Linked DNA regions of Pelodiscus sinensis. The protein of the gene in region 2 purifies or fractionates together with the protein of the main gene of each other region. This does not show direct contact. Links are inferred from orthologs where the notes say so. Each region holds a gene or a part of one and is shown on either strand. Other genes may lie near its edges.

Region 1 (7,927 bases), on a different chromosome or scaffold from region 2:
GTGCGATCTGACCGCATACAAAGGGAAAGAGACCGAGGCCGCAACAACTCTTCTAAAGTGGGGGAGGACGTTGCTCGTAGGGACTTCAACTCCCGAGGGCCCAGAGAAGGACGCGCGCTGCATGCTGGGAGACGTAGTCTGAGACCGCTGCAACGTGAGTACGAGACGTATTAAAGGGCGGAGCTCTGAAAGGGAGTAACTCACCTCAGCTGGGGGCCGACGGGACCGTTTTCCTAGTTGGTTAGCAACGAGCTCCCACACGGGTTGAGGTTAGAAGGGGCGGTGGGTGCCGCAAAGCCGTGTGGGAATCGTAGTTCCGCTAAGAGCTGCCGCCCGCTGTGGGGGATGGGACGGCGAACGACACGGAACTACGGCTCCCGAGCGCTGTTGGAAGCGGCGAAGCCGGGAGGGAAAGGCTGGGTCCTCACACGCTGACTCGGGACAGGGAAGCGGAGCCCGTGCGGTGTCGCCTGGCGCTGAGAGACGCGGACCTTGTCCGTATGCGGGAAGCCCGGGAAGAGTCCGACCTGGAGCGGTATCAGAAAAGCCTGCGAGGTGAGCGGGATCCCCGTCCCAGCGCCGCCTGCCCCCTTCTTCTGGCAGTGCCAGCTCCCCGCGAGCTGAGTGGTTTCTCGCCGTGCCCACTGTCCCCCACTACTGGCTGCCCCAGCTCCTCTCGCCGCACGGCCCGCCTGGCTGCTGGCACCGTGGCCACTAGTGTGCGTGCGACCCCTTTTCTTGCCGCTGCCCCACCGCCACAATTGGCTACGTGGCTTCTTTGCCTGAGGCTGCGCCGTTTTCTCCACCTCTCTGCTCACCACGTCTGCTAAAAATTGAACTGGAGAAGGGTAGACTGGTGCCGACACCCCTTTATACTGTTCTAACCATCCCAGCCTGTTGAGCCAAGTGAACCAGATTATGATCTCCCCGGTGACTGAACCCGTTGCTGTCAGAACTCTACCCACCCTGTGCCCCTAGCACCAAACTTCCACCCCGGTCCCCCTTACTCTCTAATTTTGGCAAAGAGAGCTCTAAATCAGCTGTTTACCTGACAGCTTCTCCCCTGGAGGGGGGAAGAGGAGAGAGAATGAAGGGAAGGGAACCTAGAGGGGCAGGAAGAGGGTATGTGGGGGCTCCCCATGTAGCCTTGCCCCATGTAGCCATTACAATTTTGGCTGGGAACATGGGGGGGGGGGGGTAGTGCATCTTCAGAGCACTACCTGTGGCTTTTCCTTTTCCCTTCCCTCCCTCCCCCCCCACTATAGAAGCTCTAGTAGCACCAAACCCCAGACCAAAGTCATAGTTGACAGTAAATTCACCAGTGCATTTGCTCTCACTTGCTAAGGAGCCTTGACAACCTGAGCATCTGCACTGTATGAGGCACAGAGTCACTGCAATATGACCCAGCTGTAGCCGAGGACCCCATTTTAATAGGGTCTCCATGCTGGCATTCAACATGTTGGGACTCAGGGCCGAAGCTAAGCCTGAGCCCCCTGCCCAGAGCTGAAACTTTTGGAGAAGCCCCTGTCCGTGGCAGTCCCCCCACAACCACAGTGGGTCCGGAGCAGCCCACTATTCCAGCCCCACCAGTTAACTGGTTAAGCCTAGACATGTCAATGAGTAGTTGACTATAGAATTAATTGATAAGCCTAGGCTTTTCAGTTCATCTTGACTACTCACATTCTCTCCCTCCCCCACTGCCTCTATCACAGGCAGCTGGGGTGGAGAGCTAGCTTGAAAGCCAGTCCCACCCTCCAGCACCAGCTCTGCGATGCCACCTTCCCCTTACCACTCCCCCTCCCCCATGTGCTGCTGCCTGAGACACAGCGGCATAAGGGAATAGGGGAGGCTGCTGTGAAGGAGCCCCTGTCCACAGGGGGATGGAGGCTGCTCTGCGTTCCGCGAAGCAGCTTCTGTCTGCAGCGGCCCAAGGTGGCTGTGGACAGAGGCTGCTTTATGGCAGCAGCCCACGTCCACAGGGAGCTTGGAAAGGGGCTGCTGCTGGACCAGCCTCTGGCCAGCTGACTGCCACAGACAAGTTGCTTCATGGTAGCCTCCTTTTCAGTTCCTAGCCTCTCTTCTCCCCCTCCCCCCTGCAGCAGCCTCTGTCCACTGAGAGGTTGGACCCCCGAAGTCAGGGACTACTGCTGTGTTATCCTATGCTACTGCCTTTGATACGGAGGCAGCAGCGCATGGTGGCAGGGGGCTCCCAGGAGCCACCCCTCAGGACTATAGAATAGATCTAACCAAAAAGTTTATGTTGTTACACAGCTATTCAATTACCCAATATCTAACCTCCCTTGTTAAACCTTCACATAACCCAGCTTGTGAGCTGTGACTGAGCCAGGCTGCCTGCCTGCCAGCCCAGCGCCTAATACATTTTAAACACAGAGTTGCAGTGAGGTAGGTCCCAGACACTGCAAGCTGGGACTGAGCACGGCTGCTGGCTAGCCCACTAAAAAAAAAAAAAAAAAGTACTGGCAGAAGGGGGAGGTAGGGGAAGTGCATGTAATCCATAGCATTAACCAATGAGCTTTTGCTTATCGGTTAATTACACCATTACTTCCCTAGTCGCACTTTTTTGGGCCTACCTGCTGGAACCCACAGCATCTCCTCTTGATATGCGTGGTAGGCATGGATCCTCAAGTTGGTAGGGAAAATAAGGAGAGAATGTGGAAACGGTTTGTGGTCCCACCCATGGATTTAAGGCGCTCACTCAGGAGAGGCTGGCACTTGCCCCAGCAGCAGCAACTAGGGTCTGGTGGTGCTGAAACGAACCCTGTGGTAGGGTCAGTCCTACTTCGGGCTCCCAGGCCCCTGTTCTGCCCATTATCCTACAGTTTAGTGGACATGGTACAAGTCCCACTTGCCTTTTCTGAGCATTTGGCCTTCTGTCCTTTGGCAAAACAAAGGGGTGTTGAGGCCGATGCCCTCAGCCAGTCAGGCTGAGTAAACAGTCCTCCTCAGCCACCAACTGAAGTTTCTGGCCATCTAGAAGGAAGGAAGCTTCCAAACACTCCCTGTTGGAGCCTGCCACCTCCTCCTGCAGCCCTTAGCAGTGTTGATGGTGTTCTGCTCAGCTCCTCTGATTTGCCTATCAGCTGTTAGCTCCTTTCCACCTCCACTCTCCAAACTTTTTCTCCACTCTCTTCCACCCTCCCTCACAGGAAAGGTTTTTAAAGAGGTCCTGTGGCAGCCTGAAATCAGTTCACCTGCCCCTTAATTGATTTAGAGCAGCCCTGTCTCAGCTGCCCCTGATTATCCAGGGCTGTTGCTTATTTCCCCCCCCCCCAGCTGCCTCTCCCCCCTTCCATCAAGCCCTTGTACAAACATAGGCAGCAGCATGGGGTGGCAGCCCAGGGAGTGGGGCTAGAACACACTGGCTGCTGGCACTGCCCCTGGAACTATAGGATAGTTGACTAAGACTTCATGGGGTTAGTCAACTATTCTGTTACCTGCTATCTAACATCCCTGGTACTGGGCCCTCTTTCTCCACTGTATGAATGTGCTTGTACTGGTAAAGCTTACTGCCATATGGGAAGGCAATTAAGCTAAAATGGTATAAGGTACAGTAAAACTCCAGGGCTACGTCTACACTGGCCCCTTTTCCGGAAGGGGCATGTTAATTTCAGCTGTCGTAATAGGGAAATCCGCGGGGGATTTAAATATCCCCCGTGGCATTTAAATAAAAATGTCCGCCGCTTTTTTCCGGCTTTTAGAAAAGCCGGAAAAGAGCGTTTACACTGGCCCCGATCCTCCGGAAAAAAAGCCCTTTTCCGGAGGATCTTATTCCTACTTTGAAGTAGGAATAAGATCCTCCGGAAAAGGGCGCTTTTTCCGGAGGATCGGGGCCAGTGTAGACGCTCTTTTCCGGCTTTTCTAAAAGCCGGAAAAAAGCGGCGGACATTTTTATTTAAATGCCACGGGGGATATTTAAATCCCCCGCGCATTTCCCTATTGCGATTTCAAAAATTACCATGTCCCTTCTGGAAAAGGGGCCAATGTAGACATAGCCCAGGGCTGTGTCTAGACTGGCAAGTTTTTCCGGAAAATCAGCAGCTTTTCCGGAAAAACTTGCCAGCTGTCTACACTGGCCGCTTGAATTTCTGGAAAAGCACTGACGATCTCATGTAAGATCGTCAGTGCTTTCCCGGAAATACTATGCTGCTCCCGTTCGGGCAAAAGTCTTTTTCCGAAAGACTTTTGCGCAAAAGGGCCAGTGTAGACAGCACAGTACTGTTTTCCGCAAAAAAGCCCCGATCGCGAAAATGGCGATCGGGGCTTTTTTGCGGAAAAGCGCGTCTAGATTGGCCACGGATGCTTTTCCGCAAAAAGTGGCAGGATGCTTTTCTGCGAAAGCAATCTAGATGCACTTTTCCAAAAATGCTTTTAACGGAAAACTTTTCCGTTAAAAGCATTTTTGGAAAATCATGGCAGTGTAGACTTAGTCCGGCATCGCATTGTATGGCGCTCCCGATAGTCTTACATCAAAATGAGAAGAGCCTAGTGAGTGATCTTCGGCAAAAAACAAGTCACAAGGCAGCAGCGGCAGCAGCTGAACCGAGCAAAACCGGACGGGACTGAATCAGTCTGCCACTGGTATTGTGTGATGCTGAACAGTGCTTGTGCTACAATAAAAAGGGTTAAAAACACTTTATATACAGTATATACTGTGTGTATATATATAACCATCTTATAGTACCTCCTGAGAGTCCGGGATATCTGATAATCCGGCACCACCTAGGTCCCAAAGGTTCCGGATTATCGGAAGTCTACTATATCTTGATATAGATTGGACTTCACTGGTCTGGCACCCTCGGGACTTGACTGGCCCCAAGCAAGGGGATTTGATGGAACAGAGAATATCACCCCCCTCATGGCCTGTGTTGCCACTGGGCTAGGTGCTACCCCACCCTGGAACTCTCTAGATGACAGGGGGTGAGGTGCTGGAGTTATTTTTTCATACTAGCATTTAAAATGAGGAATGTTGAAATCAAAAGAAAATGATCTGTTTGATGCAGCATTTAAACTTGAATTTGTTGAATATGCAAAGGAAACAATAATTGTGCTGCTATTCAAAAATTCTGCATCAATGAGAAGCAGGTAGGAGAATGGTGAAAAAATAAAGCAACACTAAAAAACATACCAAGAAGCAAGAAAAAATGTCCAACAAGGTTTGCTTCATTTCTTGGGCTGGAAAAGTCGCAACGATTGGGTTGTTGAATGATGACAAAATGCGTACCTTGTCACTAGAACTGGAATTTGTCTGTGTGCTCTCCAAATGTCAAAAGATGACACACGAGTCAGAAAAGCCATAGGTGTTTGTCACATCAACAGTTTGGCATACTAGCTTCGTGAACTGTCAAGGTCTCTATCTTCAGCAATAAACAAAGATAGCACAAAAGCTGCTGAGAGACCAGGAAGAAAAAAATTGAATCTTTCCGAAGATTTATTATAAAATATCAAAAGGAATATGAATCGGAGTTGTCACAAATAGGAAATATGGATGAAACATTGATGACATTTGATCTTCTGAGCAAAAGAAGAGTAACTAGTGTTGGTGAAAAAACAGTCTTAATTAAAACCACTGGCCATGAAAAATAATCCATTTTTACAGTAGTTTTATCATATATGGCCAATGGATTAAGGCTCTATTCTGTTTCTTGAAAAGAAAAACCTTGTCCAAAACGATGACATTTCATGGGGGTATCCTCATATGTGCACATGTGAAGGGATGGATGGATGAAAGTGGTACTATTGACTGTTTGGAAAAAGTGTTCAGTGATGAGAAACATTTCTCTAGAAACCTTCTATGCTTGTATGGGACATGTTCAGGGCACATAGGTTGGATAAGGTGAAGCATGTGACCAAAAAAATGAAAATTACTTGAACTGTAATACCTGCAGGTCTAACTTCTGTTCTACAATCCCTTAATGTCTGCCTGAACAATCCCTTTAAAGACCGGCTATGCAAAATGTGATCTGACTGGATGTGGTCAGGCATGGTGAAATTGACAAAAGGCGGAAATCTTATCTAGCCCAAAATTAATCTGGTTGCCCAGTGGTCAAGGATGCGTGGGAGTCCATTCTCTTAGAAATTATAGAAAAATCATTTTGGAAACGCTGCATCAGCCATATGCTTGATGGGTCAGAAGACAGTACCACATTCGCTCGTGACACAATGGAGGCTGATAAGCAATCAGGATGACATTGCTGATGACAATGCAGGAGCAGCTATGACTGAAGCTGAGTTTAATGAACTGTTTGGTAAATTGGAGACTGATTCAGAGTTTGAAAGGTTTTACAACTTTAAATGCATTAGAATATGAGATTTTAAAACATTTCTTCGAAATTAGTCCATATGAGTTCATATATGTTCAATTATTATACTTTTTTTGGTTAGATGCATTAAAATAAAAGTTCTAAAACTTATGTTTCGATTCTGACTTTTAAAATACAGGAGAAGAGGTCAGTTCCCAGCCCAGCAGGGCAAACTGTTGGCCTGTTGAGACATTTGTGTACTTGGAGCATCTGCAGGCATGGAACCTCTCAGCTCCCATTGGTTGCTGTTTGCCATTCACAGCCAATGGGTACTGCAGGAAGCAGTGTGGGCCAAGGAATGGTCTGGCAGTCATTCCCGTTGACCCAGAACAGCTAACAGCCAGAGGGAGCTGAGGAGCTCTGTTCCTGCAGATGCTCCAGGTATGTAAAACATGCTAGCGTGCCAGTGGCTTGCCCTGTTGGGCTGGAAACTGAGGTTTGCCAATCCCTCCCCCCAGTTAAAAAAAATAAAATAAAATAAAGTAGTAGCACAGATGACCCACCGCTCTTTATGGTGTGATTTTTTTTTTAACAAAAAAAATTGACTTATGATCGAGTACATAGGGTACATTATACATTTTCACCTCCTATGAAGTGTTTTTATTCTAATTTCTTTCTGATTCATTTTTAAATTTTACTTGTTTCCATCTTTTGATTTGGGGATGTAAAATCCCATTTATTTATCTGCTTAAATGTTATGTTTAACCAGTTAATGGATTAAATGGGGGCAGGTGCGTGTGTGTGGTGGGGGGGGGGCACCCATCTCGGGCGGGAGCTGCTCCATCTAGGCTGGAGCACCCCTGCCCACCGCAGGCTCTGTGGGGATGAACCAGCCCACAGTGACAGGGGGCTATTCCAGCCCCCATTGGATAACCATAATTGGTAAGCATTGCCTGGTAAGGATGTAGCTTACCACCACTTAACTATTCACGTACGTAGTATTAAATAGTAGTTCCATGTAAAGTTCACCCAACAGTTACAGCAGCTAAAATAACGTGATAGTCATTTCAAACAGTTTAGTTATCAAAAATTAAGAGCATGAGTTCAGTTAGTTTCAGCTGACCAATTAAGCACTCTGCTCTCTGTGGTGTGAGGTGTGGGAAGGAATAAAGATTATATTGGAAAACTAAAAGTCCTCTTCTAGGTGCTGGTCAAGAAAATAATTAAAAAAGGAATGGTTTGTAACCTGAAAAAGGTGATACAGTATCTTGAAATAATGAAGTGTTAACTTATTTAAAATAAATGTTTGAAGTTGTATTTTAATATAGGAAATCTATGAAGTTGTTCATGGTAGTAAGTATTTTTAGATATAAGTCCATAATTAGTACCTGAAGTGTTGTCACCTCTAGGAATTTTAGTTATCAATCAAACCAGGATGGATTTGATTTAAATAAAATTGATTTAAATCATTAGTCAGGAAGATTTGATATGATCATGGGTTCTCTACATACAAGTGTGTCCTTGTTGGTTGCTATAATCTTAATAGATATTCTTCACAACTCAGATATAGGTTTCAAGTTTAGAGGTACACATACATTTTAAAATAGTGTTTTATAAGGCTATCAATTGATGTGTTAATTCCTGCAATTAATGCAGTCAAGGATTAA
Region 2 (7,598 bases):
AAAGGCTTATTCCTCATGGGGAGAGGAATAACTTGTGCAAGTCTTCTTTCCCGATGCTGTACTGTGAATTTACTTGTGCAAGAATGCGCATGCAGTGTAGACGCTCTGCCGTCTTGTGCAAAAAGCCTGCAGTGTAGATGTAGCCATGGTCTAGGAAGCCAAAGTCCTGCTGGCAGCACCATCTTCACAGCCAGGCATTCACCTCCTGTATGCATTTCTCTCTGGGACCCTACCCTTGACTGGAAGGTTCAAAGAGAACACCATCTATTCCAAATTCCTTCACCCGTACTCCAAGGCTACGTCTAGACTGGCATGATTTTCCAGAAATGCTTTTAACGGAAAAGTTTTCTGTTAAAAGCATTTTCGGAACAGAGCGTCTAGATTGGCATGGATGCTTTTCTGCAAAAGCACTTTTTGTGGAAAAGCGTCCGTGCCAATCTAGATGCGCTTTTCCGCAAAAAAGTCCCGATCGCCATTTTCACGATCGTGGCTTTTTTGCAAAAAACAAATCTGAGCTGTCTACACTGGCCCTTTTGCGCAAAAGTTTTGCACAAAAGGACTTTTGCCCGAATGGGAGCAGTATAATATTTCCGCAAGGAGCACCGACAATCTTACATGAGATCGTCAGTGCTTTTGCGGAAATTCAAGCAGCCAGTGTAGACAGCTGGCAAGTTTTTCCGGAAAAATGGCTGATTTTCCAGAAAAACTGGCCAGTCTAGACACAGCCCAAGAGCACTGTAGTTACTTCTGACCTGCTGAGGATCACACCTCAGAGTATCACTAGGGTCCACCTTGAACAGTTCCTTACAATTTGGGTTCAATACTTATGGAAAACATCCTGTGCCCCCTTGTATTTAGCTATGACATGATGCTGTCATTTCCCACAATCCCTCCGGAACAGAAGAGTTCTGCAAGTTGCAGAGCAATAACCATGGTGGGGCAAACTGGGCACAAAGTCATGGGGGGCAGAAAAATTATGAAAAAAACCCCAAAAACTGGAAGAAGGCACAAACTGTCTTGCTTTCCCCAGGTGCTGAAATGCCTGGTGATACCTCTGGGAAGCTTGAAAACTCATCTCTCTGGTTGGGGGCCAGGTCTACCTTAGTGAGCTTACAGCTACACAGCTATACCGGGACAGGGCACTCTTCCAGCCACACGGCACCTTCTCCAATGAGCCCCAGGAGCTGTGTCTGCTGAAGATCACCTCTGGATGACATAGCTCTGTCCACGCGAGGGCTGCTGTCTGGGGAACTGATGTCACTCTGACAAAAGTGCCCGTATAGACACAGCCACTAACAGAAGTGGGTCCAATAAAAGAGATGTTCTCGCCCTCCTTGTCTTGGTAATTGTCAGTGAGTAGCACAGCCATTCCCAGCGCATAGAGCTCAGTCCAGGGCTACCACAAAATGCTATGGGGCAATAAACTGGCAGTCAGGACAAAAGCCTGGGTGTGTGGGCATAAACCAACAGTCAGAGTTTAGTGTAGCTACAGTGTCATGTAAAACCACAGCCTGATGCCAATGGCCCCTACCCCCTCCAGGCTCTGTGTGCCGGGGACCCTACCCCCTCCAGTCTCTCTGGGCTGGGCCCCCCACCACCTCCAGTCCCTGGGCCGGGCCCCCCGCCCCCTCCAGTCTCTCTGGGCCGGGCCCCCCACCACCTCCAGTCTCTGGGCTGGGCCCCCCGCCCCCTCCAGTCCCTGGGCTGGGCCCCCCGCCCCCTCCAGTCTCTCTGGGCCGGGGCCCCCCGCCCCCTCCAGTCTCTGGGCCGGGGCCCCCCGCCCCCTCCAGTCTCTGGGCCGGGCCCCCCGCCCCCTCCAGTCTCTGAGCCGGGCCCCCCGCCCCCTCCAGTCTCTGAGCCGGGCCCCCCGCCCCCTCCAGTCTCTCTGGGCCGGGCCCCCCGCCCTCTCCAGTCTCTCTGGGCCGGGCCCCCCGCCCCCTCCAGTCTCTCTGGGCCGGGCCCCCCGCCCCCTCCAGTCTCTCTGGGCCGAGCCCCCCGCCCCCTCCAGTCTCTGGGCCGGGCCCCCCGCCCCCTCCAGTCTCTGGGCCGGGCCCCCGCCCCCTCCAGTCTCTGGGCCGGGCCCCCCGCCCCCTCCAGTCTCTCTGGGCCGGGCCCCCCGCCCTCTCCAGTCTCTCTGGGCCGGGCCCCCCGCCCTCTCCAGTCTCTCTGGGCCGAGCCCCCCGCCCCCTCCAGTCTCTGAGCCGGGCCCCCCGCCCCCTCCAGTCTCTCTGGGCCGAGCCCCCCGCCCCCTCCAGTCTCTGAGCCGGGCCCCCCGCCCTCTCCAGTCTCTCTGGGCCGAGCCCCCCGCCCCCTCCAGTCTCTGAGCCGGGCCCCCCGCCCTCTCCAGTCTCTCTGGGCCGAGCCCCCCGCCCCCTCCAGTCTCTGAGCCGGGCCCCCCGCCCTCTCCAGTCTCTCTGGGCCGAGCCCCCCGCCCCCTCCAGTCTCTGGGCCGGGCCCCCCGCCCCCTCCAGTCTCTGGGCCGGGCCCCCCGCCCCCTCCAGTCTCTGGGCCGGGCCCCCGCCCCCTCCAGTCTCTCTGGGCCGGGCCCCCCGCCCCTCCAGTCTCTGGGCCGGGCCCCCCGCCCCCTCCAGTCTCTGGGCCGGGCCCCCCGCCCCCTCCAGTCTCTGGGCCGGGCCCCCCGCCCCCTCCAGTCTCTCTGGGCCGGGCCCCCCGCCCCCTCCAGTCTCTCTGGGCCGGGCCCCCCGCCCCCTCCAGTCTCTCTGGGCCGGGCCCCCGCCCCCTCCAGTCTCTCTGGGCCGGGCCCCCCGCCCCTCCAGTCTCTCTGGGCCGGGCCCCCCGCCCCCTCCAGTCTCTGGGCCGGGCCCCCCGCCCCCTCCAGTCTCTCTGGGCCGGGCCCCCCGCCCCTCCAGTCTCTCTGGGCCGGGCCCCCCGCCCCCTCCAGTCTCTGGGCCGGGCCCCCCGCCCCCTCCAGTCTCTGGGCCGGGCCCCCGCCCCCTCCAGTCTCTGGGCCGGGCCCCCCGCCCCCTCCAGTCTCTGGGCCGGGCCCCCCGCCCCCTCCAGTCCCTGGGCCGGGCCCCCCGCCCCCTCCAGTCTCTGGGCAGGGCCCCCCGCCCCCTCCAGTCCCTGGGCCGGGCCCCCCGCCCCCTCCAGTCCCTGGGCCGGGCCCCCCGCCCCCTCCAGTCTCTGGGCCGGGCCCCCGCCCCCTCCAGTCCCTGGGCCGGGCCCCCCGCCCCCTCCAGTCTCTGAGCCGGGCCCCCCGCCCCCTCCAGTCCCTGGGCCGGGCCCCCCGCCCTCTCCAGTCTCTGGGCCGGGCCCCCGCCCCCTCCAGTCTCTGAGCCGGGCCCACCGCCCCTCCAGTCCCTGGGCCGGGCCCCCCGCCCCCTCCAGTCTCTGGGCCGGGCCCCCCGCCCCCTCCAGTCTCTGGGCCGGGCCCCCCGCCCCCTCCAGTCTCTGTGGGCCGGGCTCCCCGCCCCCTCCAGTCTCTGTGGGCCGGGCCCCCGCCCCCTCCAGTCTCTCTGGGCCGGGCTCCCCGCCCCCTCCAGTCTCTGTGGGCCGGGCCCCCCCGCCCCCTCCAGTCTCTGGGCCGGGCCCCCGCCCCCTCCAGTCTCTGGGCCGGGCCCCCCGCCCCCTCCAGTCTCTGGGCCGGGCCCCCGCCCCCTCCAGTCTCTGAGCCGGGCCCCCCGCCCCCTCCAGTCTCTGGGCCGGGCCCCCGCCCCCTCCAGTCTCTGAGCCGGGCCCCCCGCCCCCTCCAGTCTCTGGGCCGGGCCCCCGCCCCCTCCAGTCTCTGGGCCGGGCCCCCCGCCCCCTCCAGTCTCTCTGGGCCGGGCTCCCCGCCCCCTCCAGTCTCTCTGGGCCGGGCTCCCCGCCCCCTCCAGTCTCTGGGCCGGGCCCCCGCCCCCTCCAGTCTCTGGGCCGGGCCCCCCGCCCCCTCCAGTCTCTGGGCCGGGCCCCCGCCCCCTCCAGTCTCTGAGCCGGGCCCCCCGCCCCCTCCAGTCTCTGGGCCGGGCCCCCCGCCCCCTCCCGTCTCTGAGCCGGGCCCCCCGCCCCCTCCAGTCTCTGGGCCGGGCCCCCGCCCCCTCCAGTCTCTGGGCCGGGCCCCCGCCCCCTCCCGTCTCTGAGCCGGGCCCCCCGCCCCCTCCAGTCTCTGGGCCGGGCCCCCGCCCCCTCCAGTCTCTGGGCCGGGCCCCCCGCCCCCTCCAGTCTCTCTGGGCCGGGCTCCCCGCCCCCTCCAGTCTCTGGGCCGGGCCCCCCGCCCCCTCCAGTCTCTGGGCCGGGCCCCCGCCCCCTCCAGTCTCTGGGCCGGGCCCCCGCCCCCTCCAGTCTCTGGGCCGGGCCCCCCGCCCCCTCCAGTCTCTGGGCCAGGCCCCCGCCCCCTCCAGTCTCTGGGCCGGGCCCCCCGCCCCCTCCAGTCTCTGGGCCGGGCCCCCGCCCACATTACAGGGCCCCGAGGGGCCATCCGCCCCCATTTCCCAGGCGCCCCACGAGCCGCCCATCGCCCCCCAGCCAGGCGCGGCCGGGCAGCAGCCAGGGCCCCACCCCTGAGCCTCTCCTCGCGCCGGTTGCCAGGGAGCCGCTGTTGCCATGGCGGGGCGGCCGAGGCGCATGCGCGCGCTGGCGGAAGTGCCCGGATATAGCAGGAGGAGGCGCTCCCGCCGCCATCTTTGCCCGTAGCACAGAGAGCTGGTCGCGGCGGAGCATCCCGGACTCATCCGCCTCCATCCAGCCCGCGCCGCCCCCGCCGCCGCGTCTCTCGGACATGGACGATCGGGAGGACCTCGTGTACCAGGCCAAGCTGGCCGAGCAGGCTGAGCGCTACGATGGTGAGCGCCGGCCGGGCGGGCGCCGGGGAGGGCCGGGGGAGAAGGGAGGGAGCGGTCACAAAATGGCGGCGGCTGGGCAGGGGGGCAGAGGCGGCCGGGGGGGGTACGAACAAAATGGCGCCTGGGGTGGCCCCGCGGGGGCGAGGCAGCCGGCAGGGGGGCGCAGGGCCGAGGGGGCCTCGCCCGGGGGGGTCAAGGCGCGGCGGCGGCGGGGAGCCGGAGTAAAATGGTGGCTGGGAAGGGCGATCCCGGGGGTGGGGCAGGGGAGCCGCCCCCTCGCGGGCGCCCGACCCCCCCCCCCGCGCCCTTTCTCGTGCCCGCCAGCGCGGGCGGGGTGGCCCCTCCCCACGGAGCCCTGCCCAGCAGCGGGCCCAGAGGGAGGGTCCGGCCTGGGGGGGCCGGGTCACGTCGCCGCAGTCAATCTCCAGCCACCCCGCTGCGTGTGAAAGGGGGGCCTGGCCCCTAGGGGGGCCCTTCTGCGCCTCCTTCCCAGGCCTGGCCTCCTGGGCGCGCCTCCGTGTTCTGCCTGCCCTAGGCTGGCACTGTGGCTCTTTAGGGTACGGACCCTTCGGTCTCTTAGCTCTCCCGGCACAGGCCAGACTCAGGTACGTGCATCTTATTAGCCTTAGGCTTCAAATGATCGTGAATGGGAATATCAGGCTTTTTGAAGAGTCGGGGGGGTTTCTTTAAAGTTCATGGGCTGTGCTGATTTACATATTTGTAGGGAGTTCAATATCCCTGAGCATTGAGGTGGTTCTTTCTGAATGAACAGTAGGGTAATATATGCAATTGTCAGGGTCTGACACAATCTGCTTGTCATGCCACACCCTTGCTACTTATTTAAAACTAAATTAGATTCCTAACTGTTATGCTTGCCAATAAAACAAACTGAATGGGACTGTGGTGTAAACCTATGGGATACTGGCCTCCTGAGCTGTCATCAGTCCATTCCCCTGCATCAGTTGCTGGTCCTGTCTTTCCCAAGTGACAAGATAAAAAATGATCAGGATCTTTCTTACCATTACTGTTCAGAGCACCCCTGGAGGCAGTAAAACTGACAAGAATTAGGTCAGCTTTTCTCTGGAGTGGCTACCATTAGTAATGTGCCAACACTGAAGAAATATATATATTGGGGGGGGGGGGGCACAAAATGGAGCCCCTAAGAAGAAATACAAATAAATGCTGTCCTTTGGAATAGCCATGAGTCTGGGGAAGTGTTAGAGCAGTGGCTCTCAACTAGAGGCCCATGTACCCTTGTGGGAGAGGGGTGTACATAGGGGTCTTCCATGGGCGCCTCAACTGATCTAAATATTTGCCTAGTTTTTATGTAACCAGTTGTAAGGGTACTAGCAAAGTCTGTACAAACTAAAAGTCACACAGTGACTGGCTTGCTTTAGCTACTGTACACCAGAGAGGTAAGTGTAATGGTTATATTCCAGCTAACTCATAACATGTAAAAATGAGAACAGTTTTTGAGTAATGACATGCTAGGACACTGTATTCTTGTGCCTCATTATTTGTAAAGCAAGTCACTTTTAAGTGAGGTGAAACTTCAGGGTATGCAAGACACAGCAGATGCCTGAAAGGGATTCAGTAGTCTGGAATGGTTGAGAGCTACTGTGATACAGTAATTCAGAATTCACATATTTTTTCCCAGTACAGTCAGTCCCCGGGTTAACGTACAAGATAAGGACTGTAGGTTTGTTCTTAAGTTGAATTTGTATGTAAGTTGGAACTGGTACAAATTGTAGGGGAAACTCTAGCCAAACATTTCTCCAGAGCTCAGTTTTATTCTCCCACACCTCACTTCCCTCAGTCCTTTATTCTCAAGCTGAGGTGTCTGCTGAGAAAAGCCGCTCCGGGTCTCCCTGGTCTGCTGGGGGGGGGGGGGGGGCGCTAGCTTCGAGTCTCCCTGGTCTGCTGGGGGGAAAGAGCTAGTGCAGGGTTGCCTCACCCCGTTTGTAAGTAGGGATCCGATGTAAGTCGGATCCATGTAACCCGGGGACTGCCTGTAGCTGGAGAGGGGTTTAAAACATATTGGCTCTCTGCTAGACCATGGCTGTGCCATACGACTTACTTGTCAATGCTAGGTTTCCTGGTATATTAGCAAATTGTAGTTTAGATGCAGCTTATGTTGGCAAAAACACTTTTTCCTGGTATAACCACATCAACGTAAGGGTTTTTGATGGCATATCTGTGGTGACTGGCGATGCTGGGAAAACTTACAAGAAGACAAGGCCCAATTTTGAGCCCCCGTGCAGGGTCTAAACAGCATTGTGATAGGCATTCTAGCATGTTTCTGTGGGGGGAGGTGGCTGTTTTTTAGGAAGATGTATGCATCTGCATAGCATTCCCATGGTATTTCTTCTTAGTGCCTGGTAATTTTTCAAATTCTGTTATGACAAGGGAGGGAAACAGTTTTTGATGGTGGGGGCATTCCAAGGTTTTGGAAGTGGTCAAGGGTCGCACTTGTGTGTGGAAGAGGTGTGGGGCTTGGGACTGAGGTTGGGTGCAGAAGGGAGCTCGGGGTTACAGTATAGGTGAAGAGAGGGTGTGGGGTCTGAGAAGGAGTTTGGGTGAAGGAGGAGGTTGTGACATGGGGCAGGGCATTGGGGTGTGGGAGAGTGGGGTGTCGGATGTAGGCTCTGGCTGGGAGACACTTACCTAGGGATCTCCCAGCCAGCAGCAGCTTTGGGCAGGCTTCCTGCCTGATGGTCCTAGTGGGGTGGGCTGGCAGTCTTGCCTGCTTCTGTAGTCTAGGCATCTGTAGTGTGAAGCAGCCAGTTCTCATGATGATTAGGATATTAATTTGTTGGA

Evidence for each region. The genes of interacting proteins can lie anywhere in the genome.
Region 1: the proteins of YWHAE (region 2) and CEP170 purify together in Homo sapiens (affinity purification with mass spectrometry; 3 studies listed by BioGRID and IntAct, with this or other methods). This does not show direct contact. The link is inferred for Pelodiscus sinensis from reciprocal best matches to the Homo sapiens genes YWHAE and CEP170.

The regions. Positions count from the first base shown.
Region 1 is NC_134713.1:131,575,511-131,583,437, forward strand, and holds the start of CEP170 (centrosomal protein of 170 kDa), read right to left. Parts: upstream 3,011-7,927; 5' UTR 2,871-3,010; intron 556-2,870; coding exon of another isoform or gene 501-555; exon of another isoform or gene 421-500; intron 309-420; exon of another isoform or gene 205-308; intron 155-204; exon of another isoform or gene 4-154; intron 1-3. Other genes in the region: SDCCAG8 (serologically defined colon cancer antigen 8), read left to right, coding at 501-555.
Region 2 is NC_134731.1:1,405,433-1,413,030, reverse strand, and holds the start of YWHAE (14-3-3 protein epsilon), read left to right. Parts: upstream 1-4,592; 5' UTR 4,593-4,717; coding exon 4,718-4,781; intron 4,782-7,598. UniProt on the Homo sapiens protein: Adapter protein implicated in the regulation of a large spectrum of both general and specialized signaling pathways. Binds to a large number of partners, usually by recognition of a phosphoserine or phosphothreonine motif.